Diceros bicornis minor: one gene and its partner. The protein of the gene in region 2 interacts with the protein of the main gene of each other region in a biochemical or structural test. Links are inferred from orthologs where the notes say so. Each region holds a gene or a part of one and is shown on either strand. Other genes may lie near its edges.

What was found.
Region 1: the proteins of FZD7 (region 2) and DVL1 form a complex in vitro, tested with the Homo sapiens proteins (2 studies listed by BioGRID and IntAct, with this or other methods). The link is inferred for Diceros bicornis minor from reciprocal best matches to the Homo sapiens genes FZD7 and DVL1.

What each region holds. Positions count from the first base shown.
Region 1 is NC_080752.1:22,307,685-22,322,494, reverse strand, and holds the start of DVL1 (segment polarity protein dishevelled homolog DVL-1), read left to right. Parts: upstream 1-7,240; 5' UTR 7,241-7,327; coding exon 7,328-7,497; intron 7,498-13,044; coding exon 13,045-13,114; intron 13,115-13,286; coding exon 13,287-13,408; intron 13,409-13,683; coding exon 13,684-13,787; intron 13,788-14,034; coding exon 14,035-14,173; intron 14,174-14,810. Other genes in the region: MXRA8 (matrix remodeling-associated protein 8), read left to right, coding at 487-562, 913-936, 1,054-1,359, 1,462-1,563, 1,696-2,166, 2,420-2,578, 2,773-2,812, 2,896-2,972 and 2 more. UniProt on the Homo sapiens protein: Participates in Wnt signaling by binding to the cytoplasmic C-terminus of frizzled family members and transducing the Wnt signal to down-stream effectors. Plays a role both in canonical and non-canonical Wnt signaling.
Region 2 is NC_080749.1:79,840,678-79,856,121, reverse strand, and holds FZD7 (frizzled-7), read right to left. Parts: upstream 6,035-15,444; 5' UTR 5,362-6,034; coding exon 3,637-5,361; 3' UTR 2,174-3,636; downstream 1-2,173. UniProt on the Homo sapiens protein: Receptor for Wnt proteins.

The DNA of each region.
Region 1 (14,810 bases), on a different chromosome or scaffold from region 2:
CGCACAGACCCGGGGCCAGAGGGCTCAGAGGGCAGGGAGGCCGAGGTGGCGGGTGCCTCCCACGGGGGTCCCTCACGCACCTCGCTTCTCAGGGAGGCCCTTCAGGCCTGCGCTTCTCCTAGTTGTCAGGAGGGGAGTGGGTTGTGGGATTGAGGGAGGCCTGGGAACCATGGGGCTTGCAGGGTCTGTTCCAGCCTCCCTCAGCTCCCAGGCCCCCTGAGCCCGCCCTCAGGGCTGGCCTGCTGATCCTGCGCATTCCTCCCATCCCGGGCGCTCAGCCACATTTCTGGAGCAGAAACTTGGCTTGTGGGGTGGCGGATGGTGGGGTCACTCTCCACCTCCTCATACTTCAGACCTCTGCCCTTCAGGAAGGCCGAGGGGGCCCCAGCACCGAGCACTGAGTGTGGGACAGGGCTCCCAGCGGTCTGAGGACCCTCCAGGGCTTGTGTGGTGTGGCCGTCGGCAGGTGCACGTGCTATCCAGGATATGCATGTGCAGGGGCCCCCAGAACGGGCGTCAGCGCGTCAGGCTTTGGTGCTTTGGTGGTCTTGCTGCAGTGAAGGTGAGGGTGGCCCTTGGTGACAAGCACACACTCCAGAGCCGGCCTGTGCCGGGTCTAACCCTGGCCCCACCACTCACCCCCACAGGGCAGGCGCTGTCCATGCAGCACAGGCAGGTGGCCGTGAGGATTAAATGGGGGCCATGGGCACAGTGCCCACCCCTGTGGGGCCAAAGGAGACCCCCATCTGTGTCCTCCTGGCTTCTCTGCCTTTACCCACCTGTAAGCAGGTGTCATGAGCATCCACCTCAGCCAGGGCTATAGAAGAGACCCAGGCAGCCAAGTGGGGTGCCCAGATGCAAAGGCTCAGGTCGTCCCCTCCCCAGTATGACTCGCTCTTCCTCACCTTCCAGGCTTTGCTGTCCTTCTGTCCTCAGGTTAGTGACCACCCTGCCCCTGAAACCGCGACAGTTCCCTCCCTTCTCGCCAGCCCCACCCAGTACCTGTTCCCTTGGGTCCCACCCCTCCCTCAACGGACTCCCCCTCCCCACCAGGGCTGTCTGGGCCCCAGACGGCCGGCAGCTCCGTAGTGTCCGAGTCAGCCGTGAGCTGGGCGGCCGGCGCCCGGGCCATGCTGCGCTGCCAGAGCCCGCGCATGGTGTGGACCCAGGACCGGCTGCACGACCGCCAGCGCGTGATCCACTGGGACCTCAGCGACGGCCCGGCCGGCGGCTCGCCGCGCCGACTCGTGGACATGTACTCGGCGGGCGAGCAGCGCGTGTACGAGACGCGCGACCGCGACCGCCTCCTGCTGCCACCCTCCGCCTTCCACGACGGCAACTTCTCGCTGCTCATCCGCGGTACGGGGCCTCGGAGCCGCAGGGGGCGCCTTGGGGGATCCGGGGCGCGCGGGGCTCGGGCCGCGGCGGAGCTCACGGCTGGGTTTTCTCCTGGGTGCGTAGCGGTGGAGGAGACAGACGAGGGCCTGTACACCTGTAACCTGCACCACCACTACTGCCACCTCTACGAAAGCCTGGCCGTCCGCCTCGAGGTCACCGACAACCGTGAGTGTGCCCGCCCCCGCAGGCCCCCGACCCGGTCCTCACGCACCCCTGTCCCCCTGGACGCCCCCTCCCGGCCCCTCCCTCTCCTCTCCCCTCCTTGGTCCGGGATCCCTGACCGCCTTGCGCCCCCAGCCCGGGCCGCTGGCGCGCACTGGGACGGCGAGAAGGAGGTGCTGGTGGCGGAGCGCGGCGCGCCCGCGCTGCTGACGTGCGTGAACCGCGCGCACGTGTGGACCGACCGGCACCTGGAGGAGGCGCAGCAGGTGGTGCACTGGGACCGGCAGCCGCCTGGGGTGCCGCACGACCGCGCAGACCGCCTGCTCGACCTGTACGCGTCGGGAGAGCGCCGCGCCTACGGGCCGCCCTTCCTGCGCGACCGCGTGGCGGTGGCGTCGGACGCCTTTGCGCGCGGCGACTTCTCGCTGCGCATCGACCCGCTGGAGCCGGCCGACGAGGGCACGTACTCCTGCCACCTGCACCACCACTACTGTGGCCTGCACGAGCGCCGCGTCTTCCACCTGAGGGTGACCGAGCCCGCCGCAGAGCCGCCCCCGCGGGACTCGCCGGGCAACGGCTCCAGCCACAGCGGCGCCCCCAGGCCAGGTGCAGGAGGCCGCCCTGGGCGCCCGGGGAACGTCTTGGAGGCTGAGAACGGCAGGAGACACCCAGGCCCCTCCCACTCCTGTCCAGAATAAGGGACCTGGGTGTTAGCCAAGGGAAGGCCCCATGGACTGCGGCCGCCTGTCCCTTCCCGAGACCCACGCAGCGCAGCCGGGGCGGCCTGGGTCGGGGCGCACCCACCGCGCGGTCGGTCTGCAGCGCGCACCCTGACTTCGCCCCCGCCCGGCCCCTGCAGATCCCACGCTGGCGCGCGGCCGCAGCGTCATCAACGTCATCGTCCCCGAGGGCCGGGCCCACTTCTTCCAGCAGCTGGGCTATGTGCTGGCCACTCTGCTGCTCTTCATCTTGCTGCTGATCACTGTCATCTTGGCCACCCGTCAGCGCCGCCGCGGAGGTGAGCCGGGGCTCGGGGCGCGGGGGGAGCCAGGGGAAGCCGGAACCGGGAAGCCTGTCCCGACTAGAGGCGGGACTTTTCGTGCGGTGGCCTGAGCAGAGGGGGAGCTTGGTGCGGGCGCTGGGAGGGTTCCTCGCGGCTGGGGGAGCTGGGGAGGGGGCAACACTGTCCCCAACACGAGTCTCCCTCCCCAGGCTACGAATACTCGGTCAAGAAGTCGGGGAAGTCAAAGGGGTGAGTGACCCCTCCCGGATCTCCTGGAGACCAGGCCCCGCCCCACTGGCCACGCTAACCTGCCACCACCCTCCCCCATCCAGGAAGGACGTGAACATGGTGGAGTTTGCTGTGGCCACAGGAGACCAGGTTCTTTACAGGAGTGAGGACATCCAACTAGGTGAGGGGGCCCTGGACACCAAGGCAGAGACTGTGGCTCCCAGGCCTGAGCTGGGGGAGGCACATCTCAGGGAGGCCCCTCACCCTGCCTCTCCCTACCTAGATTACAAAAACAACATCCTGAAGGAGAGGGCTGGGCTGGCCCACGGCCCTGTGCCCGCCAAGTACGTGGACTTGGACAAAGGTAAGTGGCTGGGAGGGAGACCTCCTCTGCCCATCTCACAGCCAGGCCCATACCCCACCCCACCCACTCGCAGAATCCCGAAGGCACCAGCCAGCCCCACAGGCAGCAGTCCCCTGTCACCTCAGGGCTCCAGAAGTCCCTGGGCAGTCCTGCTGGATGTCTCCCTGCATTTCCTCCTGTGGCGGAGGAGCAGAGGGCAGACGCCCACCTGTTCCCTTGGCTTCCAGAGTTCAGGAAGGAGTACTGCAAATAAGGTGATCCTGGGCTCCTGGCTGGGCCAGCAGCTCTGCCATCTCCTGTCTGTCTGTCTTGGAGGACGTCCTCCTGATCCTCATGCAGCTCACCCGGCCCCCCTTCCAGCGGCTGGTCCCGCTGTCCTGGAACTTGGCCTGGACTGGTGCAGAGTGAGGCTGCCTCCAGACCCCTCTCCCAGGAGCACCCTAACCCTCACGAGCAGCAGTGGGCTCCTTGGGACTCTGCAGGCTGTGGCTGCGCCCCTTCAGCAGCCCTGGGCATGTGCCCACTGGCTCCCATGCTCGCTGGTGTCCTGGTGTACCCCCCACACTGCACAGCAAGACCCCTCTGATGTTCACCAAGCCCTCAGGCTCTCCTGGCCTCTGTCTTGGAGGGGGCTCAGCTGGGACTCGGAGCTGTGGTCAGCCTCAGGGTTGGCACTCCCACCCCTTCCTTGGGGGAGCTGCCTGCTGGCTCCCCGTGCGCTACCCAGCCAGGCTGCCGTGGGGACCTGAGGACTGCGCACTCCAGGCCCCACTGATGCCCCTGTGCGCTGCATCAGGCCACCTGGGGCTGCCATGGGTCCCTTCTCTGCTTCCCTCTGCTCCAGCCTTGTTTCCGACCAGCTGCCTTGACAGTCACTGGGCTCCATGTGACTTTAGACCCTGACCCCCCTCCCACGGCCCCTCGCTGGGCTGGAGTCTGGCTCTGAGGCCTCATTTGGCTTCTGTTTTGGCTAAAGACAGGGGCGGGGGTGAAGAGGGTTCTAGAGTGGCCTGTGCTGCCACTCCCGACACCCTACGTTTGCTCCTCCTGGGAAACTGCCGCCATTGCAATAAAGACCACATTTGATTTTTAGACCTGGCCCATGTATGCCTCTGCAGCACCCCCTGCATCTCCTGGGGGCAGAGTCTGGGCCTCAGGAACTCCCAAGTGCTTTCCTTCATCTGAAGTCCTCCTGTCATCGCCCATTCCTTTTGAGTGGAAGTTCTGGGTCCAGGTATCCTGGGAAAGGGGACATTGGAGCCAATTCTACAGCACTTGGTTGTGAAGCAGTTTCAGACTCCTGAGGGTTTATTTGGATATGGGAGAGGGAGCATGTTGGTGGATATGAGGACAGAGAGGGGCACTGTGTTATGTTAGTTCAGTCCTCTGAGAAACAGACGCTGAGATGGTTAGCCAGCAGGATGAAGGGGGAGGAGGCGGGAGAGGCAGGAAGCCTTCAGACGGAGTGGGCATGACACTGGTGAAGGGAGAGGGTGCTGCGGTAGGAAGAAACCTGTGTGTCTCCCCAGCCCTGACCCCATCCTTTGGAGCCCTCCCAGGACAGCAGGGACAGGAAAGAATACGCAGGTTATGATGGCTGAGTGAGGAGGCACAAGCCCCCCGCACGCCCTCAGCATCTGAGCTCCCCCTCTGGGGAGGTGGAGACCCTGGACTCATTTTGACTGAAGGTGCAGCTGCAATACAGCCACACACAGGAGGTCGTCACAAGGTTTATTACTTACAGATCCCAGAAACGGGGTGCAACAAGCCAGGGACGCCTCCGTCCCAGGTCATGAACCAACATGAGACAGAGCAGGATGGCACCTGTTATGTAGAAGGTGTTGGGGGCGAAGGTCACTAATTTTTTGCAGGCTCAACTCTGAGTGGAAAAGCGGAGGGGAACTTGTGGTGGGAATCCTAAGCTCAGGTCCTTATCTTAATTTCCAGACTCGGTGTGAGCAGGTTGTCATACTGTGAAATGCTGAGGCAGTGACTCACAATGGCTGTTTTCTCATCACACACCCACACGGACCCCACAGTGGCAAAGGCAGGGAGGGAGACTGGGCCGGGGAGCTGTGGCTTGCTTGAGAGTGTGCCTCCTTCCCAGCCCAGTGACCCCTGGCCCAACAGTGGCTGCACTGCCACTGGATGAGGCCCCTCCTGTAAGGGCTCAGGCGCTGGCCTGCCACTCAGCCCTCCTTGCAGGGCCCCAGCCGGACTACATCAGCATCAGCACTTGACTGTTCTCTGGTCTTTGGTTTACTGGTCTCTCTCCTACGACTTGGGCTGAGGGTCAGGTTGGAGAGGGAGGCTGGGGGAGAGGCTGGAGTGCAGCTGGGACGTCGGACCCCCTGCATCTGTGTGACCGTCAGCCATTTGTGTCTGGTGTAGGGGATGCTGGTCCCCTGGTGGGTTCTCAGGGCAGGGACTGTCTTCCTCCTTCCCTGGACACCCAGTGGAGAGCCACGGATTCTTCCTCTAAGGCCATCCTGCCTGGCTCCTCAGCTTACCTCTGGGGAAAGCGAGACCCAAGGGGAGAAGGCCCAGGCTTTGCTGAGTGGGTGCCAACCTCACAGAGCCCTGCCTGCCCTCCCCATCCGAGCCTAGGGGTATGGAGGTCAGGACCCCTGGCCTGGGTTGACCTGGGGGTGGTCCCCAGCCTGGGCTTAGGGACTTAGGTCCAAGCTCTGGCTCCTCCAGTCACTAATGGACTGATGGGGTCTTTTCCTGTGTTGGCCCACTGCCCACGGATGGTCAGGACCAAGCAGATGGCAGAGTCCTAGGCTCCAACCAGCTTCAAGGAGGGTCCTGGGTTCAGGTCACAGGGGCGTCAGATACTGCCCACTCCCATCACTCTAACGCCCCATCCTAGGGTCTCTCCTCTCTTCACTCTCGCCAGCGTGGGACTCTCTCTAGTGGCCTTGAGTGTTCCTCCAGGGGTGGAGGGAGAGAGAGCCGCTCCCCACAGCGGGAGCAGCATGTGACTGGACCCTTCACAGCCCGAGGGGCGCTGCTCCGAGTCTCCCTTGCCCCGCGGAAGACTCTAGGCTGGTTCAGTGGACAGCGGCCGGAATCCCTTCACCTGCTGCCAGAAGCACCGTGCCTGGGCACCTCTGTGCACACGTGTGTGCGCACAGCTGCTCGCGCTGACCCTCGCTGTCGTCTGGAGCTTCACACACACGTGCTCACACTTGCACTCCCGCGTCCACGCGAGCACTTGCCTTCACTTGGCTCGGAGTTTCTCGGAGCCTCAGTGGCACCCGGCAGAGGGCGCGCGAGCTTGGAGCTAGCGCGGGGGCGCAAAGCGACCGAGTATCCTCAGCTTCCCGCGGGGACCCCCGCAGCCCGCTGAAGTGACCAGGGCGCCTCCGGACTGTGAGCACCCACGGACCTACGAGCCCTCGCGAGGGGGCGGAGGACTGGAACCTGGCCGAGCGACTCTCCTGGGGGCTGCAGCCGATCCACAGGGCTCCCAGCGGGCGCGTGGCGTGGCCTGGGGCGGGGTCTCCCTTCTGACAGTTGGGGGCGCGACGTGCAGGTGGAGGGCGAAGCTTCCTGAGGGTCCCCACGCACCTCTTGCCCCGGGGTCGCGCCCCTGTCCGCCCACCGGCTGAGAGCCCAGGCCCAGCGCGTCTTGTGCGCGCCCCTGCGGCCCGGCCGGAGGGGTCCCGGCGGGGGGCGGGAGGCCGAGCGCGGGGTCCCGAGAGTGGGTCGGGGGGCGCGCGCGGGCGCGCCCCGCCCCCGCCCGCCCGCGCGTGCGCAGCCCCGCCCGCCGCGCGCCGCGGGGGCCCGGTGACGTCAGGCCCCGCCGCGCTCTCGGGCGCCCCCCGGCGGGCCGCGCGCTCAGCCCGGGGCCAGGCGGTCCCTTTAACTGCGCGGCCCGAGGGGGCGGCGGCGGCGGCGGCGGCGGCGGGGCGCACGGACGCGGCCCGGCCTCGCGCGCCCTCCCTGTCTGCGTCCCCGGCCGGAGCGGATGGGCGGCCGCGGGCCGCGGGGCAGCAGCCGGGGCGCCAGCGGAGCCGGGGCGGCGGGGCGGACAGGGCCGGGGCGGCCGGGCGGGGGCGCCGGGGGCCTGGTCGCGGCCGGGCCAGGAGCGGCTGGCGGGCGGGGCGCAGGCCGGCGGCGGGGAGGCGCCCGCGTCCGAGCCCCGGGCCGGGCCTGAGCACCGCGCCATGGCGGAGACCAAGATCATCTACCACATGGACGAGGAGGAGACGCCGTACCTGGTCAAGCTGCCCGTGGCGCCCGAGCGCGTCACGCTGGCCGACTTCAAGAACGTGCTCAGCAACCGGCCCGTGCACGCCTACAAATTCTTCTTCAAGTCCATGGACCAGGACTTCGGGTCAGTGGGCCGTGGGGCCTGTGCGCGGGCATGGGTCGGCACCTGTCTGCGCCCGGGCAGGGCCCTGGGGATCCTGGGTGCCTCCGCGCCCCGGTGTGGTGTGTTTCCCACCTGTCTGTGCCCTGAGCTGCCTGCCCAGGAGCCTGAGAGCTCTGGACGGTGGGCAGGGTAGCGTCCTGGCTTCTCCACCCACCCTGGGCCCAGTCTTGTGTGCCTGAGTGTATGTGAGCTGTGGGTCAAGGTCTGTTGCCCAGGCCAGGGCGACCCCGAAGTCCCACCGTGGCACCTGTCAGACTCAGGGTCCCGCTGCCCTCCTTCTGTGGCAAGCAGGTGCTCAAGGCTGGCCTGGAGGGCTTGTGATTAAGGGGGCCTGCGGTCAGAGGAGTGTCGGGGTGTCCAGGGGAAAGGGTGGGGGCAGGGTCCCCTAGGAAGCCTGGGGGAAATCTGTCTGCTGGGGTCTGCAGAGGTTTCCAGAGGCTCAAGATGGCCTATCCCTGGTCCCCTCCACCAGAGTGCTGAGGACAGGGCAGAGGTCAAGGGTCACTGGGGACTGTGAGACATCATTCCACCCACCCTTGCCCTGGGGTTGCTGGCCGTTGGGCCTGTGTCCCTGCTGAGCCTCACAGCACTGGAATTCTTGGGAACAGCCCAGTCCATCTGCTGGCTCAGGGCAGCCTCTGGTTCAGTGTCCCCGTGTCCAGCCTTAGTGGTGGCCATCTCGGCTGAGGGGACTTCCCACTTGCACTGGGCTGGACCTGTGGGACGGTGAGCAGGAGGCTGGCTGTCTGCTCGAGGCCTGACCCGGCACAGCCTCAGGTAACCTGAGTCCCTGGCTCAGCAATGCTGGGGGGGGATACCCAGAGGCCTTGTGGGCCAAGCAGGTGTGTCTGGCCACCCTCAGGCAGCCGCGTCCTTGTGTGTGGCTGCGTCTTGGGACTTTGACATTGAGGCGTTTCCTGGATTCTGTAGTTTGCACGGGCCCTGGGCAGCCCCAGGTCAGGTCAAGCTAGGGCCATTCTGCAGCTCTCAGGGGGACCTGAGAGTCTCTTGGGCCCCACCACCACCAGGGAGAGGCATAGAGAGGAGGATGTGTCCTTGGCAGCCTCAGAAGGCTGGATGTCCCCAGCCCTGCCTGGCTGGCCTTCCTGCTGGCTCAGCTTAGGAGCCGCCATGGGGCCAGGCTTCTCGGGTGGGTATTGTAGTCTGGTCTGGCCGCGTCGCCTGCCCTCGCTGGGTGGTCTCAGTCTCAACTCCTCTGTCTTCACGCTGCTTTGGCTGTGAGCATCGGGTATGTGAAAGGGTGTTTTTGTTTTTAACTTAGTTTATTATATTAACAAAAATTACCAAAGTCACACATGCTCTCTGTCACAAACTCAAGCCAGCAGGGCATATGTGGCAAGGCATCTGCCTGGCCCCACAGGTTGCTGCCCTCCAACCATGCTGTGGGTGCGTCCTGAGGGGCCTGCCACCCGCTCCTGTGTCTGATGGCCACTGCGGGCTGCCCATGAGCTGCAGAAACCCCCACCCCACGTGCACTCCCAGCAGAAGCCGGGCTTTTTGGGGGATTTGTAGGATCCATGCGTGCCTTGGCCTAGGAGGTGAGTGGGCAGGCAAATCTGGGTGTTGAAGCAGGAGTAGGAGTTCCTTAGGTTGTCTGGGCAGGCTTGGGAATGGCTGAGATGGGGGAGGGAACAGGACTGGGCAGAGGGCAGCTTCAGAGGCTGAGGCTGGGCCGGGAAAGGGGGATGGATTGAGGTGACGCTGGAAGGTGCAGTGGGCAGACAGAACAGGGAGGCTCACCTTACTTCCTCCCTGGACCTCTGGGCTGGTGGCCTGGTGGCCTCAGGGTCCTGGGAGAGGACCCAGCTGTCTCATTTCTCCCTCCCCTGAGACCTATGTGGAGAGATCCAAGCTCTATTTATTGTATAGAATCATTTATTCAGTGGAATAAATTCCTTCTCGAAGGGGCTGATCAGTCACTCAACGTTAGTGTGAACGTGAGCTTGAGGCTCACCCTGGCTACTGAGGGATGTAGCTGGAAGTTGGGGGAAGGGAGAGCAGGTCCTGGCAGGGCGGAGGCAGTGGTCTCCCCCATGAGAGGGGTGGCCTCAGCTTGGGGGCCTCCTGCCCCAACCCCCCATCCCACTGTGGGCTGGGCCCTGAGTTCCCCGAGCCTCTGTTTCTGGCCACAGCTGGCGCCAGAGTAACAGAAGGGGGAGTCTGAGGTGTGGCTGTGGCCCACAGGCGTCTTTGGCTGAATGTAGGGGTTCCTACCTTCACCTCCCACTTTTCCCCATATGGGTCACGGCTGTTCTGACCCAGCAAAGCAGGGGAGGTCTCTGGGCCTGTGGTGGTTTGGTGGGAGCAGTGTGGGAGGGCCTGGCCCGGCCTCTGGGCTGTGAGGCAGAGGTTGAGGGGGTTTGGCCTGCAGTCTCCTCACTGCCAGGACCACCTCGTTGCTTCCAGGCCTGGCTGGACTTGGCGCTAAGCTTGTCTGCCTGGTGGTGGCCCCAGGCTGCCCATCTCTGGGCCAGGAGCTCCGGTCTCTGGGGCCACCTGCCTGTGGGCCCTGGGTGGCGTGGTGTGGGGGCTGCGGGGCAGGGGTGGGCACTTGGCCTGGCCTCAACTGCCTGGGTGAGCTCCCGCTCTGCCCTCCGCAGGTGCCATCTGGGGCCAGTGCCCCTGCCGTGTTGGGAGAGTCCAGACAGGCCACGCCCTGGAGCTTGTGGCACAACCTGGAGGACGGGGACCCCCCTCACCCTGGAGTCTGCGGAGCCTGAGCCTAGGGGGGTGGGGGGGGCTCAGTACCGCCTATGGACGCGCTGGGCGAGGAGTGGCCAGCTCTGGGGTCAGGAGGCAGTGAGGTGACGGGTGAAGGCTCAGTGGGAGCTGAGGACCCCTGACTTGTGGGGGCACGCAGGGGGCTCTGAGGGCTCGGGGACAGCTCTTCCTCCCCTGTCGTGCGCCAGCTCACTCTGCCAACTTCCTGCTCCATGGCGAGAGAACGGGTGGGGGGATCCTGTGCCTCTGGGGACATAGTTGGAGCCATTGCACTGGGAAGGGCTGGCCTGTGGCATGCTGTGGCGGGTCCTCCTTGGCCCGTGGCTGTGCTCGCTCTAAGGGCCCTGCTCTGAGCAGATTCCTCGTCTGGGCGAGTCCGCGGGGGCGGCGGGCGGAGCTGGGCAGCCACAAGTTCGAGGTTAACCCGGATCTTGCTAGGAATTCTGAGGTTGGGGGCACGATGCCAACGGGGGTGCCCCCAAGGCCGGTGGAAACTGCTCCTGAGGTCTGATCTCCCACCCAGCGAGGCCTGACCCAGGAGGGGGCCCCTAGGGTTGTTTGGAGGCGTTTCCATGCTTGGCAGAGGCTTCTCCCCCACCCCGACTTTGTCCCTACCCTGGGGCTCCTGGGAGATTGTGCTGACCGCCGGTGGACAGCACCACACCTCGAGGAGAGCACCCATGCCCTTTGTCCTGGGAGCTTTGGCACCTGCCCCTTCCCTCCCTGCTGTCCTGGCCAGGCTGCGCTGGGGCCTGTGGTGCTCCCCGGTGCCCCGACCCCCAGGTGGAAGGCAGGCTGCTCTGTCGTGCAGGTTGGAGAACTTGGGTTCCTCAAGCTGGGGAGGGCCAGGGAAGCAGGGCCTCTGAGCCCAAGGAGGGACGTCCATGCAGGGTGAGGGATACAGAGGCCTTGGGCAGCCCTGGGTGGTGGGTCATCGAGGCCCTGGCTGGGTGGGTAGTGGGGGCTCTGGGTGCTCCCAGGCCCCCTTGCCTGGGGCATCTGCCTTTGGGAGAGCCAGGTGGGCCCTGCAGTGTGGGGCCGCGGGTGCTCTTCTGCCTCCCCATGGGTGAGTCAGAAAGGGCTGGGGCTTGGGTGTGGCGGAGGAGGCTGTTGGCCAGGCTACCTGGGCTGTGAGGTGGGAACCACCAGGTCCTTCCCTGGTCTCTGTTGCTGCAGCCACTCAGAGATGGTGCTCTCAGTCTGCTGGGCCCCTGGGAGGGCTTGCTGCAGCCCTGTCTCTTGGCTGCAGCTGGCAGAGCCCCAGGTGTCTCTGGACCACCCCAGGTCTTCCTGTGGTGACAACCTCTCATGTGGCCTCCTTACCCAAGTCCTGGGCCAAGTCATAGCCTCCCCTGGAAGCTCAGCTCTGCAGGGCTGTGGTGCATGAATAGGGGCAGCAGACATGGGTCTGCTCCTCGCTGGAAAGAGGGGGGTCCTGAGAAATGACCCTTTCTGCCCTTTGGGAGCGTCCACCTCATTGGTGCGTGTATGGCTGGCCCTGGGAGGTGTCTGGGGGGCCGTCACAGGACCCGGGCTGGGTGCCCCCTCCCTCCCAGGCTGGCCCTGTCTTCTCTCTCCACTCTGCCCCCAGGTCTGGGGTCCCCTCCTGGTGGATGGCGTGGACCGGGGCCTTGCTCTCTGGGTGGGAGTGTGGGGTGCTAGCTCTGTGGAGGGCCTCCTGCCATGTGCTGCTGCCCGGGACTGGCCGAATCAAGGCATCCGGGCCCAGCAGGCCATGAGGCTGCTTCTTGCCTGGTCTGTCGGCTCCCGTTTCTCCACTGGGCCCAAGGCCTGGGCGTGGAAATCACGCTGTGCTAGGCAGGGCTGAGCTCCAGGAGGCGGGCTGTCGGGGCTGCTCCTGCTGCAGTGCCCGCCCTGCTCCCTGGGCCTCCAGGAGGCCAGGGTGTGGGGTGTGTCTGGGCCACAGCCACTGCCTGCCCTGCCCCACTGCCTCTCCCCTGTGAGCCATGCTGGCTGCTGCTCTCCTCACCTCTTTGAGCCTGACACCTAGACCCCCCATCTCAGGCTCATCATTGCCTTGGCTCTCTGTGTCCTGCCTTCCCTACCGCCCAAGCCCACCTGACTGGGGGCAGCATGAAGACACAGGCCAGGGGACTGGTTTCTGGGCAGTGGGTATGGCCCATGGAGCTCGCTGAACTTGGGGGGCTAAGACTTCTCAGTAGGCCCAGCTGGCTTTGTGCCCTTCCAGGTCTTGAGTTGGGCTGGTGCTGCAAGTGGGGATCTGCTTGTCTCCCTGGCTGAGCAGACGGCCCTGGACGGTGGTGGCCTGCCATCGGAGTGTGTGTGTGTGTGTGTGTGTGTGTGTGTGTGTGTGTGTGTGTGGGTCTGCATGCCGTGCCGTCTTGACCTACCTGTGTCTGTGGGGGTCTGACCGCCCTCACATCTGTGCTGAGGCCTGCTGTGGACAAGGCCCTGTTTTGGGCCCAGGGGGATGCAGAGAGTGAGCCAGACAGAGCCCCGCCCTCACAGACCCACACTCCGTGGGGCACACAGACAAGTAGATGTTATAGAATGCTACAGGCAGTGACCCCCCCAGTGGCGGAGGGTCAGGGGTCTGGACCCCCTTGGACCTGGCTCCTGGGAAGGGTCCCCAGGAAGAGAATGTGCTGGGCAGGGGCATCCACACAGACTGATGTCTGGGCATGTGACACGTGCCCTGGGCAAGGGTGGGGAGTCTTACCTCCAGAGCCCACTGGTGGTAGCTGGCCCCGGTTCGGGTGGTCTCATGGCCGTGTCTGCCCACAGGGTGGTGAAGGAGGAGATTTCTGATGATAACGCCAAGCTGCCCTGCTTCAATGGCCGCGTGGTCTCCTGGGTGAGTCTGTGGGACGTTGGCAGAGGGTGCTCAGCCAGAGTGGGGGTGGCCCCTGTGTTGCAAGATGGGAGCTGGGCGTGGGCGAGCGGGTGTGGGGTGGGAAGAGGCTGGTCACCTGTGCCTGGGCACCCTGCTGGGCGGGGCCTCCCTGAGCCCTCATTCTCCTTCACAGCTGGTGCTGGCCGAGGGCGCACACTCAGACGCAGGGTCTCAGGGCACTGACGGTCACGCAGACCTGCCCCCACCTCTTGAGCGGACAGGCGGCATCGGGGACTCCCGGCCCCCCTCCTTCCAGTAAGGACCCTGGGGGGCGCTGAGCCTGGTAGTCCCAAGGGGCCTGCTGCCTGCCAGGCCTGTGGTGGGGAGGAGGGGCAGCTGAGCAGGGACCCACGGTCAGTAGGAGCTGGTCAGCAGAGGAGGGGCAGGCAGAGAGGCCCAGACCTGGTGGCTGGCTGGGCAAGGGCCCCTGCCAGATTCAGGGTCCCACCAGGTGAGGGGAGGCGAGGAGCCAATGGCATCTGAGGCGTTGGTGGCCCGCCTGCCCCAGCCCACCCCGCTCTTTGGCACAGCCCAAATGTGGCCAGCAGCCGTGACGGGATGGACAACGAGACCAGCACAGAGTCCATGGTCAGCCACCGGCGGGAGCGACTCCGACGCCGGAACCGCGAGGAGGGTAACAACCCCAGACCTCCCTGGGCCCCCATGGCGCACCCCAGGTCCCTGCCGACCCCTGGTTACTGCCCCCCACCAGTGGGGTCCTGGGTAGAGGTCCCAGGACCAACTGCCTGGGACCCCAGTGTCCCCTCAGCACCCCCATAGTGACCCTGCCAGCTCCCAGGTCAACAATGCTCGAGGCCACACAGGCTGCCGTGACCTCCAGGGGATCCCACGGCCAGCTCCCCTCCCTGCTGTCCCCACAGCTGCTCGGACCAATGGGCACCCGAGGGGGGACCGGCGGCGGGACCTGGGGCTGCCCCCTGACAGCACATCTACCATGCTGAGCAGCGAACTCGAGTCCAGCAGCTTCATTGACTCGGACGAGGACGACAACACAAGCCGGTGTGCAGGCGTGTGTGTGTGTGTGTGTGTGTATAGGAGTGTGCATGTGTGTGCGTGCACACGAGCACGTGTGTATGTGCATGTGTGGGTGTCACAGGTGTGTGTGTGCATGTGTGTACGTTTGTGTGAGCATGGGGTGTGTGTGTGTATGGGTGTGTGCACGTATAGATGTGTGCACGGGTCTGTGTGTGCACAGGTGTGGGCATGTGGGCGCATGGGTGTGCATGCATAGGTGGGTGCCCACATGTGCATGCACAGGTGTGTGCACGTAGACGTGTGTCCATGTGTGTGCATGTGTGTGCGCGTGTGTCTGGCCAAGTGCACTTTGTGCACACGAGAGTGTGCATGTGCAGGTGGCCGTGCTGGCTTACTTGGTGTTCGTATCTCCATGTTTGCCAGGGCATAGCGATCCACGTAGGTGTGGGGTTTGTGTGTGTCATGTGTGCACGGTGGCGGTGTGTCCAACCAGGAGCTGAGCCTTCTGAGCAAACCTCACCCAGGCCCTGTGTCTCCTGGTTTCGGCCTGGCCAGACCCTGCCACCTCCTGTCCCACCCCGGCTCCTCCTCCTCAGTGTCCTCAATGGTGTGAAGGGGGTGGGGGCACCCTGTTCTCTGCCCCTCCTCAGCCCTGCAGCCC
Region 2 (15,444 bases):
ATGCCCAGATCTTCACAGGTTAAGATGACCTCACACCCATCGTGATGTTCAAAACCCAGGAGGACCCTAAAGCTGCTTTGCACAGACAGCAGCGGCGGCTCCCTCCTCCTGGGGAGGACTGTCTGTCACTGGTTTTCATTCCAGGTGTTTGTAAAACACATCAGCCATGAGTGTGAGCCTGTTAATTAAAACAAAAACCGGACTGTTTCTGTTGATCTTTAGAAGTACAGAAACTTAGAGCGAAGCAGGGAAGGAGAAACAGCATCTAGTCTGCTGCTGGGTCTCCACGGCTGCCCCAGAACGGGGGACTCTGCTAGCAAAAGCCAGGAAGCCAGCACCTGAATTAAAGGAGAGGCGCGTGGAAAAAAAAAGCTAGTGAAGCTTGGCATTGGAAGTATTTAAAACGCCTTTATCATTTCCCTGAGGGACTCTTTGATATCAAAGTGCCTGGATAGCAAGGCTTCTCAGTCTGATCGGATTCCAAAGTGAGCCTCTCCGGCAAGAGGAAAGAATAGCTTTGGTGGCTTCTGAGGCCATCCTGGGGTCAGCGTGGAGTCTATTCCTGCCGGAACTGCTGAGTCACCGCCACCTCTGCCGCCTCGGGGAATCACTTGACCTCTGGCTCAATTGACCTAGAAGGTGGAGTGAAGCCCACAGCTGAGAAGGCTCCACATGCAAGACCCCTGCTATTATCTGGAATCATCTACTGACTTTCCCAGCCACCTGACCCAAAGGATTTAAGTATTAACCATGTGGATAAGGGGCATTAGAATTCAAAAACACCAATCACTTATAAAAATTCACTGAATTCTTCCCAAGGAAAACATCACCACACAAGCACACCAAAAATATCTTCTAGTCGTCTTTCAAATATGGATTTCATCTCCAAAGGGTAGTAAAAACATGGATCAGAGAGCACCTCTCTAAAAGAGATGCTTATTCTGTACCTTCAATAAGTTATCCAAAGCTGGATGTGAAAAGGCTTATGGGCGTGTGTGGGGGGGTGCTGTGCAGGGATGCAGGGAGCAGCAACAACAGAAAACAAATTAATGGACAGTCAAGGCATTCATTACACTCTGTATTTTAAAAGGCAAGGATAAACAACCTCAATAATATATAACACCTTCCTTCGAATGGGGTCCCTCCATACCTTCTGTCCATAACACAAAGTTCTGCTCTTCGGCTTAATGACATATAAGGACCGTAAACTAAATAAACATTCACGTTGTATTTAAAAAAAAAAATTTATTTGTGATCTGTACATGTGATAAAGTGGGGCTTCCTTGTAGACTTTTAAAGGCAAAAGAAAACAAAAATCCAAAGTAAAAATGTATAAATACAATATATATTTTCTTACAAAAAATGGGAGATTTACAAAATATACATACTGCACTTGTCTCTATTTTACAAATTTCACATGCAAGAGATACAACACAAAAGATGCCAAAAACTGTGCCGCGGGAGTTTTAAAAATCTGACAAATGAGACAGTTTTGGAGGTTTAAGAAACACAAGGTCAACGTTTAATTTAAAAAGCAGCTCCACTCAGCTGAACATTACATTTATAAAGTAACGTGCACTCCTGACAGTACCCTCTATGATTTAAGAACTGTTTAAGACAGCATTTAAAAACTGTTTTGAGAAATGGGCTAGTGTCGCAAGATTGGAGGGCGGTGTCAAGGGTGGAGTTAAGGTTAGCTCCCAGGCCTCTCCGCTCAGCTTTAGACTATTATGCAAAAGAACCCGAGTTCTATTATAGAAACAAAAGTACATGATTTAACATTAATAAACTTAAGTCATCCAGCACATTTCAAAGAACTCCAGAATTACTTTGAAGTTTAGCTTCTTTTAGTGACTTTCCTTAAAAATGGGGCCCATGGTGGGGCCGGCCCGGTGGCGCAAGCGGTTAGGTGCGCGCGCTCCGCTGCGGCGGCCCGGGGTTCGCTGGTTCGGATCCCGGGCGCGCACCGAAGTACTGCTTGGTAAGCCATGCTGTGGCGGCGTCCCATATAAAGTGGAGGAAGATGGGCACCGATGTTAGCCCAGGGCCGTCTTCCTCAGCAAAAAAAGAGGAGGAAGATGCGCACCGATGTTAGCCCAGGGCCGTCTTCCAAAAAGAGGAGGATTGGCGGATGTTAGCTCAGGGCTGATCTCCTCACAAAAAAAAAAAAAAATGGGGCCCATGGTTTAAACTGTCCTCTTCATTCACTATCATTTCTGCAGGTCACCTCCCCACACAGCCACACAAAGACAGGGTCAGCATACACGTGATGTTTCATAAACTGATTTATGGAACTAAAACAGGACAAAATAGTTCTTTACTTTTTAAAAAATTTAACTTTTCTTTATTATGAGGTTGAAGGCATTATGCTTTTCCTTTTATCTTGAAGGATTCAAATTTGAGGAAAAAAATTGAGGGAAAACCTAAATACAGGTTTATAGAAAGAAAAAAAAATAAAGAGCAAAATTTCCCTGGACGTTTTAACAGAGCCTGTGTTCTGCGTTCATGTGTTCTGAATTAAATTTATTTAAAACAAACACAACAAAACCCCTTGCATTTCCTTTAGCCAAGTCGGAACCTCTGACCGAAAGGGGTGTATGGAAGCACAGTGCCCTTCACGCTTCCTTAAAAAGGAATGTTTCTCTCAACCAAATTAACATCCAAAGGGAAACCTCAGATTTGCGCCACTTAGTCTATAAAAGTTGCTGTCTTCACAGTTCTGCTTTCCACAGGGAGACACTTTTGTTTCCTCTTTTGTCTCTTACAACAAAGACAAGGGGAAAAATGCATTCCTGTTTTGAAAAGCAACAAGTCACTTCTTTTCAGGGTATTAAACCAAATAAAACACCCTTCTTTCTTCCTCCCGCCCTCCCCAGAAAATAAAAAAATAGCAGACATACCTACTACTCATTCCCTTTGCCTTACCTGGAAATGTTATCTTCATTTCTTCCGCCTCCTCACATTAGGATTCTAGGAGGGAGGCCTCCCAAGACTTCCAAATGCTTATTTTACAAGACTTGAAAGGAGTAACGGAAGGAAAAACAGGCGGGAGGGGCCGGGGAGGGGAGACTGCAATGTCTGACCCTGGAAATTAACCCATCTGGGCTCCAGTTTGGCCCCAGTGAAAAGAGATTATGGTTTGACCACCGCTTGACAAGGCCGCCGCGGGGAGTCCTCCCTCTTCCGGACAAAGAGGCCACGAGACAGCGCTGTACCTTTCACCCCGGCCTCACGGGAGTGCGGACCGGCCACTCGCCGTGCAGCAGGGGAATCCTCGCAGTCCCGGGTCAGCCCCGGAGCCGGGAGAACGCACGGCAATGTCTGCTGGTCTCAAGCTTCTCGAGAGGCCCAGGTCGGCCCGTACCGTACATGATTCACACCATCGTTACCATTATCATCATCATTATCCTGCAAGTCTTTTTGCCAGAAGTCTCTTCACCCAAAGCGTCTCTCCACCCAGGCCTCCTTTGCAAACCCACCCCTCGCCCGCAGTCGACACAGACCCCCTATCTTCCAGGTCACTTCTCATTGGAGGGGGAGCAGGTTACAGAAACGAGCCCCCCACCCGCCGTTTTCCCGGGCGCGCCTCGCCCCGCGCCAGGGCTGGGGAGGTCGGGGTGGGGGAGGGGCCGGGGCTCATACCGCAGTCTCCCCCTTGCTGCTGTGGCTGAGTCTGTGGTAGAAGCGGCGCCACGACTGCAGGGTCTTGCCGGACCAGATCCAGAAGCCGGTGGTGATGCCCACGATCATGGTCATCAAGTACTTGATCATGAAGACGGTGAAGTCGGGGCTCATGGGCGGGAAGTGGCCGGGCGGGCAGGGCACCGCGTAGCTCTTGCACGTCTGCAGGAGCCAGGTGCGCTCCCAGTGTTCGCGGAAGGCCTGCTCGTAGAAGTAGCAGGCCAGCACGATGGTGGCCGGCACGGTGTAGAGCACGCTGAAGACGCCGATGCGCACCATGAGCTTCTCCAGTTTCTCTGTCTTGGTGCCGTCGTGCTTCATGATGGTGCGGATGCGGAAGAGCGACACGAAGCCGGCCAGCAGGAAGGACGTGCCGATGAAGAGGTAGACGAACAGAGGCGCCAGCACGAAGCCCCGCAGCGCGTCCACGCTGGACAGGCCCACGTAGCACACCCCGCTGAGCAGGTCTCCGTCCACCTGGCCCATGGCCAGGATGGTGATGGTCTTGACGGCGGGCACCGCCCACGCGGCCAGGTGGAAGTACTGCGAGTTGGCCTCGATGGCTTCGTGGCCCCACTTCATGCCGGCCGCCAGAAACCAGGTGAGAGACAGGATGACCCACCAGATGGAGCTGGCCATGCCGAAGAAGTAGAGCACCATGAAGAGGATGGTGCAGCCCTCCTTCTTGGTGCCCTGCGCCACCGTGCGGTAGCCGTCGTCCGAGAAGCGCTCCACGCACACGGCGCGGTCCTCCAGCAGGAAGCCGGCCACGTGCGCCACGGCCACCATGAAGTAGCAGCCCGACAGAAAGATGATGGGCCGCTCGGGGTAGCTGAAGCGCCGCATGTCCACTAGGTAGGTGAGCACCGTGAAGAGCGTCGAGGCGCAACACAGCACCGACCACACGCCCACCCAGAGGCGGGCGAAGCGCCTCTCCTCCTCCTTGAAGTACATGAGGCCGTTGGCGCGGCCCGGCTCACACGGGGCGCCGCAGTCGCGCTCGCCCAGGAAGCGGTAGCCCAGGTACGGTGGCACCTTGAGCTGGCGGGGGCACGAGAAGGGGAAGGCGGAGCGGCCCCTGCCGTCGGCGGCCCCCGGGGGCAGCGCGGTGAAGGGCAGGTCGGGCAGGTAGGGCGCGGTGGGGTAGGCGGTGGGGCCGCCGCCCGGGCCCCCGGAGCCATCGGACGTGTTCTGGCCCACGCAGATCTCGCCGGCGCCGTGCACCGGGAAGTTCTCGCAGCGCAGCCGCTCGGGCCACTGGAAGCCGAACTTATTCATGAGCGCCTCGCAGCCCTGGCGGGCCCGCTCGCACAGAGAGCGGCATGGCGGGATGGCCTTATCGAGCACGGTGCACACGGGCGCGTACATGGAGCACAGGAAGAAGCGCAGCTCTGGCGAACACTGCACCTTCACCAGCGGGTAGAACTGGTGAACCTCGAGGCCCGCGTCCTCTTGGTTCGTGTGGCCCAGCAGGTTGGGCAGGATGGTCTGGTTGTAGGCGATGTCCGTGCACAGTGGGATGGAGATGGGCTGGCAGAAGCCGTGGTCCGGCACCGAGATGCCCTTCTCGCCGTGGTACGGCTGCGCCCCGGCGCCCGCGGGCAGCGCGCCCAGCAGCACGAGCACCAGGGTGCACAGGCCCAGGGGCAGGCGCGACGCGGCCGCGCCGGGGCCCCGCATCGCCGGCCGCGGTGCAGCGACGCTCTCAGCCCGAGGAGCGCGACGAGGCAGCGGGGAGAGGCTTGGATCCGGGGAGGCGCCGGCGCGCCCGGCACATGAGAGTCTCCCCGGCGCCGGGGCCGGGCCGTGGGCGGCGCGGAGCCGGGGGCGCTGCAGCTGGGGCGCTCGCGCCGCGGGGGCGCCGCGGCCTCTCCGCCCAGCACTCGCGCGGCCGCCGGGGCCCGACCTCGTCTGCCTGGGCCGGGGGCGCCGAGGGGCCGCCGTCTTCCGCCGCGACGTAACGGTGCGGCTCTTTCCGCGGCGAGGAGCAACAAGCGTCTCCGGTTACCCTTCAAAGTTTTCGCGAGTCTCCCGAGCCGCAGCGCGCACTCACGCGCGCCCCCCGCGCCGAGTCCGCCCCCGGCAGCGAGAGCCCGCGCCGCCGCCTGGAGCCGAGGACGCCGCCTCGGCGGGGCTGCTCCGCCTCCTCGCCTCGAGGCTCCGCGCGCCGCCGCCGCCTCCTTCGCCACTCGCGCTCCTTCTTCAGCCCCGAGAGCTCGGCCCCAAGTTTCAGCCAAGCGGCTGATTCTCGCTCGGAGTCCGATCGGCGCCTGGGAGCCCAGAGCTCGGCGAGCGCTTTCTGGAAATCCAGTTACACCGCGTCCAAAGCTGCGAGGCCCCGGTGCCCGCGGCCTGGGCCTGGCCTCAGCCCCGCGCAGCCCCGGCCCGTGGGTGCCGGCGCCGCCGCCGGCCGGAGGGAGCGCAGAGTAACGCCTCGGAGCCGCGCGGCTCGCCAGAAGAAGCGCCGGGCGCGGACGCGCCGGCCGCCCCGCCCCCCGCCCTCCCCCATTCACAGCCGCCCCGGGGCGGGCCCTCGGCTCCGCGGCGGTCCAATGGCGGCCTTTGTTTTCCGCGCGGCCGCCTCCCGATTGGGCGGGCGTCGGAAGGGGCGGCGGGGGGCCGGGAGGCGGTGTCGGCAGCGCTCTGGGCGGATTCCTGAGGGGGGGCTGGGAGGGAAAGTTGAGAACAACTTTTACCCTGAATTCGCTCTGGGGTGGGGAGCCGGGGGCCAACGCGCCGGAAAGCGAATTTGCCCGAAAGACGTGTTCGTCTTCCGGGACGAGAGCTACACGTTCCTGCCGGGAGGGCGCCCCGCGGGGGGCTCCTGCGCGGAGGAGCCGGGGAGCGCGCGGCGTCGCGGCCGCGGGGCACGGGACCCCGAGGCACGTGGGCCCCGCCGGCCTGAGAACGCCGGGCGCGGCGGGCCCGGAATGTGGGCTCGGTGCCGGGCCGGAGGGCGTGCGCCTCGCGGGTCGCTGTTCTCTCCCCAGACCCCACCCGCCCCCGTGAGGCCACCCCCCGCCCCCGGTGGTGGAGGGGCAGCGGCGGAGCCGGCGGAGGAGGCGCAGACCCCGGAGGGCACGGGGGACCCCCGGCCCAGGCGAGCCGCCCGGGGCCTCGGGGCCTGGGGAGGCTTGAGTGGGGCTGCGGGAACGCTGAGACCGGGTTGGGGAAAGCTCGTCAAGTGACCGCAGACCCCGTGCCCAGGACGCGGTGCGGTGTGAGGCGCGTCGTCGACGGCCGTGTGCGCCCTGCCTCTGCGGGTGGCCGCTCGGCATGTGGTCGCTGCGGAAGCGGTGATGGGATCCTCTATTTGGAATCTGCGTAGGAAAGTTTTAATGCGTATTACACACCAGGGCATTTGCTAATTAAAGAGTTTTCAAAACACAAAGAGGTTATCCTTGTTCTCGGGGAGCGTTTCCTGGTTGGCGAGCGTTCTTTGTTCCCGGTCCCATCTTCGTCCTGCGCAGGGCGCTCGGGTCCCTCCGGGCGAGGTCAGCAGTTACCGGGGACGCGCCCCTCCCTGGAGCCCCGCGCAGGAGAGGGACACGTGGAGAAAGGAAAAATGTCTCTCTCTCTCTCTCTCACACACACACACACACCACACACACACACACACACACACACACACACACACACACACGGCAATTCTGTGCTTTAAGAAACGTTACTCCGGGCCGAGCCCTTCCGGCGCTGGAGCCCTGAGGGATTTCTGATCAGGTTGCGTGTTTGCAGAAGTTGCTGCCTCTGCTGCCCTGTGAGCTTCTTGTCCAGCAAGAAAAAACCGATTCTGAAATCTAAGACAATTAATTGGGTTCCCTTCCATAGGAGACTTTGGCTTCCTCTGTTTTTCTCTTATTTGTTTTCTATTACTCAAGTTTACTGGGAATCTTTCCTTCCTCTTCACGGTTCTTTGTCTTTTCCCACTGCTGTTAATGGGTCTGGAGGGCTGAGTCATTTGGGCCAACGTAGGGTGTCAGACTGCTCGCATTCTCCATCCGGACCTCAACGGGAATCCTCGTCTGTTTCCTCCAAAGCATCAGTTTCCTCCTCACACCTGGAACCGTATTTTTTTTTCTTTTCTTTTGGGGTATCTGCCCTTAAGGTAATCTTCTTCTTAGAAGGATCAGTGATATTTGCTTTAGAAATGTTTCATTCTTTCCTAGTATTTTTTTAAGGGCTCCTCTTTTTCTAAGTTATTATTCCTCTTGCCTAACACCAGAGAGCATTGATATTGCTTTGAAAGACGTTGCTTAATGACAATGCTGCTGCTTTGCTTTGTCATTTAAAGTGTGTGTGGTGGGGGGTTGGAAATCTTTTCTTCTCTCCATGAGCTTCAGGATATCCTCCTTTTCTAAATCAAATTTTCATGCTTATTCATCAGGCCACTGATCTAAGTCATCTTTGCTTATTGAGAGAGAAATAGCAAGCACTGTCATCAAAAAAAAAAGAAAAGAAAAGAAAACCAACAGGATAAAATGCTGTGTCTCAAATACAACGAAAACCAGTTCAGTTGATGAGCTTCTACTCCTCTTATAGCCCCAGACAGCTCCCTGACGTTAGGTAATAGGGATAACTATTTAGGAAGAAAAAAAGAGAGCCCTTAAAAAATACAAGGGACGAATGAAATATTTTTGAAACAATCTACGTATAAGATGCAGAAAATGCATCCCAGATGGCAAGTATCACAGATGGGAGTCCTCTTGCTCTGTCCCAGGCAGACAAGTGCAAAATGCAGAGAAGCAAAGGCCAATTTTTTGTGTTTTGTTTTTTAAGATGATTTTTAAAAAGCCCACTCCAAAATTATTCTGAAAAATAAGAATGTGCTGTTTGTGAGAGGGGTGCAGTAGCTTTCCATGCCTGGCCTGATATAGAATGCTGTGATTTCAAGGAGGTAAGTAATAAAAGGGAGTAGATCAGAAAAGTAAGTTCACAATGTAGGGGGTAAATAGTCTGTTTTAGGCTGTATGATAAATGTAGTAACATTGGTTCACATTCTGTCCAGGATCAATCTAATTTTCTTTTCCAAGCAACGTCTTCCACACCCGACTCCCAAAGCCACTAACTGGTATCTTCTTTGGAGAGCCAAGGGTGGAAAATTTTGTAACTGTCTGCTGCAAATCTTCCAATTGTCTCTGCCCTTTAAAATAACAAAGGCTTTTGTTTCTTCACATCATAGTCATATGGTACCGCAGAAAAGTGATGCTATTCATTGGCACCAGTTATTTAAATGCTACTTATTTTGGCCAAGTCCCAGGTTTATCTAGTCGAATTACATTCTGATGTCAGGCCAGATTTGAAAATGGCCTGCTTCGTGGTGCCACAATCCTGTGGTTGCAGTGAAACTCCAGCTGCAAGAATCACTCATGCAGGACCAGAAAGAGCAGTTTGAGCATATACTTCCCTTTCTGGCCTCTCTTACGAGACAGTTTGTGACTTTATAACGTTGAGGACTTGGAATTTCCAGTTGCCTGGTTGCCATTGACTTCGTTTTAGTTTGGGGAGTTGGATCATTCCAAAAATGGGAACATTCTTATCCCTAAAGCGGACTTTCAAGTGTTATGAAAGTTAGAGATGTCTAGATTGAAAGAGAGGAGGGCCATGCTGAAATCCTGTTAGGTAAGCCAGGCCCCACCCTACAGAGGTGATTTGTATGATAGATTCAGTCACTGAATCTCTTTGACCATTATCCTTGTTGGTCGAGGAGGGTTGTATTAGTTATCTATTGTGTCTGGCAGTCAGCAGAGACCTAGGAGGAGAAGCTGCAGGAACAGGACACACAGGGGTAATGAAAGCCCCCAGGGAACCTTCTAGAAGAGTGAGGATGGGAGCTACAGCAGTGGATCCTAAATCTGGTTGGTCATCAGAATCACCTGAGGAGTAAAAAAAAAAATTTTAGGAGCCTGGGCCCCACCTTAGACGTGTTGAGTCAGAATGTCTGGTGTTGGACTTGGGGACTTAATTTTTGAAACCTCACTGGGTGATTCTTTTGAATTTGTCAGGTTTGAGAACTGTTGACCCAGACTTGTAATCCAAAGCATTATACTGTGTCACTGATGCCTTATAGAATGTCTTTTGTTGTTCGTGCTTTTGGGTGGATTCTGACTCCTAGCGCCCATGTGTATAGCAGAGTGGAACCTGGCCAGGTCTTTTCTTGTGCCGTCCTCTCACTTTCCAGCGCTCTATCAGACAATACTCTGCTGCTGTTCATAGGGTTTTGCATCAAGTCCTCACTCTACTTGATTACATTTTGAACTGAAGGATGGAATAATGAGAACCATAAGGGAGGATGAGGCGTATGAGGGGTGCGTGTGTGTGTGTGTGTGTGTAAGAGAGAGAGGGAGAGAGGTGGTTGGATACATGTCTGGCTGCAGGGTGTGATTCTGGGTTTGGGCCCTTATTTATGGGTCTCAACAAGTTCACAGTGGCTACTCTAAAATGTAACTGCTGCTCCCACAGTTCATTCACAGCATTTCCTCAGACTAATGTTGCCATCTTTGTACCTTGTGCCACGTGACCCCTCACTTCAGACTATTGAGCAGGAATAGGCAAGCATCTGACCCAGCCATGAGGTTGTCTGGCGTGAGACCTCTGTCCAACAGGTGTACCCACTGGATGTTGGGTGGCCACCCAATCAGTCCTTTCACTCGGGGAGCCTGAGTGTAAAATATACTGGCAGACACAGAGAGACATTCAGTGAGAAGGGAACAGGCAGAGACCAGGAAGCAGTAGAAGCTTGGAGGAAGCAAGAGCCATGAGGCAGTGAGGTGAGCAGAGAGAGCAATCAGATGGTGGCAGCAGGAGCTGTAGATGGAGAGAGGAGAGCAGATCCTTTCAGAGTGGAGCCAAAGGAGGAAGGAAGGGAGGGTGGGAGGGAAGCGGGAAGGAGAGGAGAAAAACCTGGTTCAAAAGGAGATGACAAGAAGACAGAACACAAGAGCATTTCCTAGCTCCTTCCCTTGGAATCCTACCTTGCCCATTAATGAAGCCACCTGACTGCCTGTGTGTTCCTCACAACTAGAGAGAACCTCGCTAACCAGAGTGCCAGGCCTGGAAGAAGGGTGAAAACACAGGTCTCTTCTGCCTGTCTCCAGGGACAGGCCCACAGCTGTAGCAGGCTGACCTCCGAGGATCAGCACCAGCCCAGGAGAGGCATCCATTTGGGGTTGACTGAAGAGGCTCAGTCTTGCAGCCACCTTCGTCTTGCTCAATGGCTTGGATAAGAATTTGAAAAGATACCTCCTAGGACTGCAGTTGACATTGAGTTGACTCAATCGAGTGACTGAACAATTGCAAAAGTGTTGCAATAAAGACCCAGAAGACCTCTTCTCCTGAGTTGTGGAAAATAAATGCTGTAAAGCATATGAAGTCCTTAGCGTGGTGTGGAAGCTGCTAGTTGTACCCCAGTATCTGTTCCTCCCTTCTTCCATGGTAATGGAGTCCCCAGCCTTTAGCTGGACTTATGGCCACTTGGAATAAAGACTCCATATAAAATCCTCCCTTACGTCCATCCGCTAAGTTCTGGCCCGTGGAATGTCGGCAGTAGTGTCGTGTGCAACTTAAAGGGAGCAGGTGTACCGTCCTTCCTCCCCCTGATGGCTGGTTCAGAGGCCCTTGTGGACGGTGCGATGACCTTGGGAGAGGAGAAGAAGTTAGGAGGAGCCTGGGTCCCTCACGCTGTGGCGCACCACACCAGCCTGGGTCCCTCACGCTGTGGCGCACCACACCAGCCTGGGTCCCTCACGCTGTGGCGCACCACACCAGCCTGGGATGCGCTCCTCCTGGGTTTCTCACATAGGAGATCGAAATAAACCTGTCTGTCTAAGGCAGCGTGACAGGTTTTCTCTTGCCTCTGAGCCAAGCATAATCCTGATTGAGCTCATGGTGCCTGCACAGAGTAGGTGCTCATCCAAGGTCAGCTTCTTCACAGCTGTCTTTGCAGGCTCCGCGGCTCCTGGGATGTCCTGGTACTTGCTCCTGTGTTTTAGTGCTTCGCTTACCCACCTGTTCATCTGGAAGGCCCCTGAGTGTAGGAATTGTGTCTTACTTTTCTCCTTTGCCTTTCACAGGTAGGTGTTTGATATGTTGAATCAAATTGTACAATTTATCAGTCAGGTGAAGTTCAGTGAAAATAAAAAACTATAAATTGCAGAAATACAGGATGGCGAAAGACTGGCTGGGAACAAAAGACCTGGGAATCATGATAGACCACAGGCTAGACGGGTCAGCAATGCACTGCCACTGTTTTTACCTTGCATGTAAACTTAGGATGCGTGAAGTAAATTAGGTGGCATGAAGGAACCAGTAGGAGGAATAACCCAAATAAGTTAAAAAGGTGATTCTCAGAGAGGGTGGAGGTGGTGGAAGAGATTTAATTTTTTGAAAAAAATCTACTTTAAAAAAACTACTTCCTGGGCCCCACCCCTGGAGAATCTGCTTAAAAGCTCCCCCAGTGCAGCTACTATGCAGCCAGGGTAAAAAATAGCTGATGAGATGACAAGATGAAAATATTTTGTTGTTTCACTTGGAAAAATATATGAAGTCCTTTAACTGTCTTCCCAAGTATATGAAAGTTTGTTTTGAGATGGATATGGTGCATTTTCTCTTTCCTGAGGATCAAACACAGGCAAGGCTTCAGTTACCGCCAGGGAAATGAGAAGAATTCTTGGGGTCTTGGTCCAGCCACTGACCCCTTGGCCTCAGACAAGTCGGTTAACCTCTCTGGGCCTGGTTCTTCATCTGTAAAGCCAGGGAACTGGGCTTTGTGGCCTGGCCCAGCTCTGAGAGCCTCGGGGTCTGTTTGGGGGTTGTTCCCCTGGGCGGGGACTTCCCTCAGTAGGGGCTTTTTCGTGCATTCTGTGGAAGTTACCCACAGAGCGAGCCAGTCTCTCCCCACTTCCTGATGACTGGCACAGCTGGGGCTCGGCAGCTCGCCGTCCGTGCCCGTCGTGTGCAGAGAAGGCACACGCGATGCCCTGAGTGTGTGCTTAAGGGCCACTTGCCCACCGCTTTTCTTCTCTTTCACATTTCCGCTGAGTCCCCTTTCCAGCTCCCTCTCCCTCCCTCCTCCCTCTTATTGTAAAATAGTGCTTGACACTCTAGAGCTAGGCTCTTCAATAAAGGTGTGGACCAAGTGGTTTGACTCCACTTGATTAAAAACTCTGTGAATGGGAGAGAACACAAACCTCAAAATATTTGCCTTTCAAAGCGAGAAGAGGGGGAAGAGAGAAACTGTTCTGCGATCTCGAATTTGCCAGAAGTCAGTTTAAAGGGCCTAAAGAATTCCTAAGCCTTTGTTTACCAAATCTTGCCTCCCCTGGGTCAGAACCTCACTGAAGCTGGGCCTGTGGCTACCTTGGCAGAGAGGCCACTGAAAGGCCAAAACTAGGTGGGAAGGGGCGGAGTGGGAGGTATTTGAATTTTGTTTTTTCCTCTTAATTATCTGGGGCTGCCCTCCAAGAAATCTGCTCTCTTTGCATTGGGAAATTAACTCTTCATCTCCACAAATGAGGGCAATCAACCCATTTACTAAATAAACACAGATCATTGCAGACTGGCTGCCTCTCTTTGTGATTTAATTTGAGATTGGCTTTACCTGAGGGAGGAGCCAAGGAGTGGCTGGGCCCAGGCAACCTGGTGGGGTCCCCAAAGGGAGGTGGCGGGTCAAAGAGGTGGTTAAGAGAGGGCGGAGGGAGCTGCGTGGAGACTAGAGAGGGCTTTGAGATCTCCTTTTCATTAGTAAATCGGAGTCCCTCCCTGGCTTAGGTCTTATCTGAATTTATTTGGGGCCTCCCGTTGTATGGTGTTAATTTTGGCTTTGAGAGTGTGAAGCTGGCTATCACAAGTCTCTGGTACGGGAACAGAGAAGCCCTGTATTTCTTAGCTAACTTGCTCATTAATGTGTTGAGAAATCTCTCCTTGCTTTAATTCTCCTCCTCTGTCACCGGTTACTTTGTTGTTAAGTCATCACAGAAAGTTGCTCAAATCCTGGGTAGTCACACTGCAGCGGGACGCAGCGCCAGGCGCCTGGCGGGTGTGCAATAAGTGACTGAATGAATGCACGAGTGAATAAGATACATCTTCAGTTGAAAATGGTGAAATAAAACCACATGGCCTTCATTCATTTAAAAAAGTTGTATTTAGAGGTTACCATGTGCCAGGCACTGTGCGAAGTGCAGAGGATATAACGCGTCCTTGCCATCATGGAACTCAGTGTCTTGATGAACAAACGAATCTGGTTTTCTGTGATGACCTTGAGTTTGTCTCAGAATTATAATGGGAGTTTGGCCCTGAGCTAGGAGCCAGCCTGTCTTGTGATTTGAAAAGGAGCGCTGAGTTGGAGAATAGTTTGGGGATTTATTTTTCAGAAAGGACACCAGAGTTCAGTAATTCTTCCCCTTCGTTTTACAGATGAGAAAACCAAAGCCCGAGATGGTGGAGTGAATTGTCCAAGGGTTCACAGAAAGAACTAGAATCCACAGTTTTGGGTTTCTAGGCCTGTGCTTTATCCAAGAGCTTTGCATATAATGGCTCAACTTTATTTCTCTTTGCTTCCTGCTCCCCTCACGCTGGAAGTGGCGTGTGTGAGCTCCAGAGTGAAGAGGTCCGAGTGACTGGCTGAGTGAGGGCCTCAGGTTGGCTTGTGCCCAGAACATCCACTGGATGCTGGTGAGTGTGGCTGCTCTGCTCAGAGGCCACAGCCTGAGCTGACGCCCCACGGCTGTGCTTTGTCAGGAAGAAACTGGAAGGGGGGTTGCAGAAACCACTGTCAGGGCCAGTGGGACCCCAGAGGCAGGGGGAGGGATCTGGGGCTGTTCCTGGGGCCGTTTGAGCTGGGCAATGGGCTGTTGGCCTGTCCTGTGGTCTCCAGCAGACTTGTGAAGAGCTGCTACCAAAATGGAGGTGTTTTGAAAACAGCCCAAGAGGTGGGAGAGGAAACATTTAGAGAAGAGATAAACAGAAGAGGCGACAGACTTCTCACTCTAGCAAAAGGGGCTTTGGTTTACCTGTGAAACTCCACTCCTCTTCCCCTAGCCTACAATTTATGAAGCTACTCCATGGCTCCCAGAGGTTACCCATTGTGCTAAGGCCTTAGTTCTGAGGACCATAGTGGTCTTGCTGTGTCTGAGCACCAGGGTTGATATCCTGACTTAAATTCCAGCTGAACAGTAAGAGAAGGCCAGCTGACGGACTCCAATGTCTGGATTAGTTGGATCATTACTATTTTTTTTGTTGTTGTTGTTTTTTGGTGAGGAAGATTAGCCCTCAGCTAACGTCTGTTGCCAATTCTCCTCTTTTTGCTGAGGAAGATTGGTCCTGGGCTAACATTCAGGCCCATCTTCCTCTACTTTATATGTGGGACACCTGCCACAGCATGGCTTGATAAGTGGTGCGTAGGTCCACGCCTGGGATCTGAACCTGCAAACCCTGGACCACCAAAGTGGAGTGTGTGAACTTAACCACTATGCCACTGGGACGGCCCCCTTGGATCATTACTATTTTTATTGTCTGTAACATTTATTGAGTGCTTGGCTAGGCTTTGTGCTAAGCCCTTAGCCCACACTATCTCCTTGATTCTTCATCCTCACAACAGCCCTTTGAGATGGTTACTGTTTATTGGACCCATTTTATAGATGGGGAAACCAAGGTATAGGGAGGTCCAAGATCACACAGATAGTGAGTAGAAGAACAGGACTTTGAACCCAGGTCTTGCTTTGAAGAAAAAAACTTGTGGGAGGAAAGAAGAAAGGGAGTAAGTGGAGC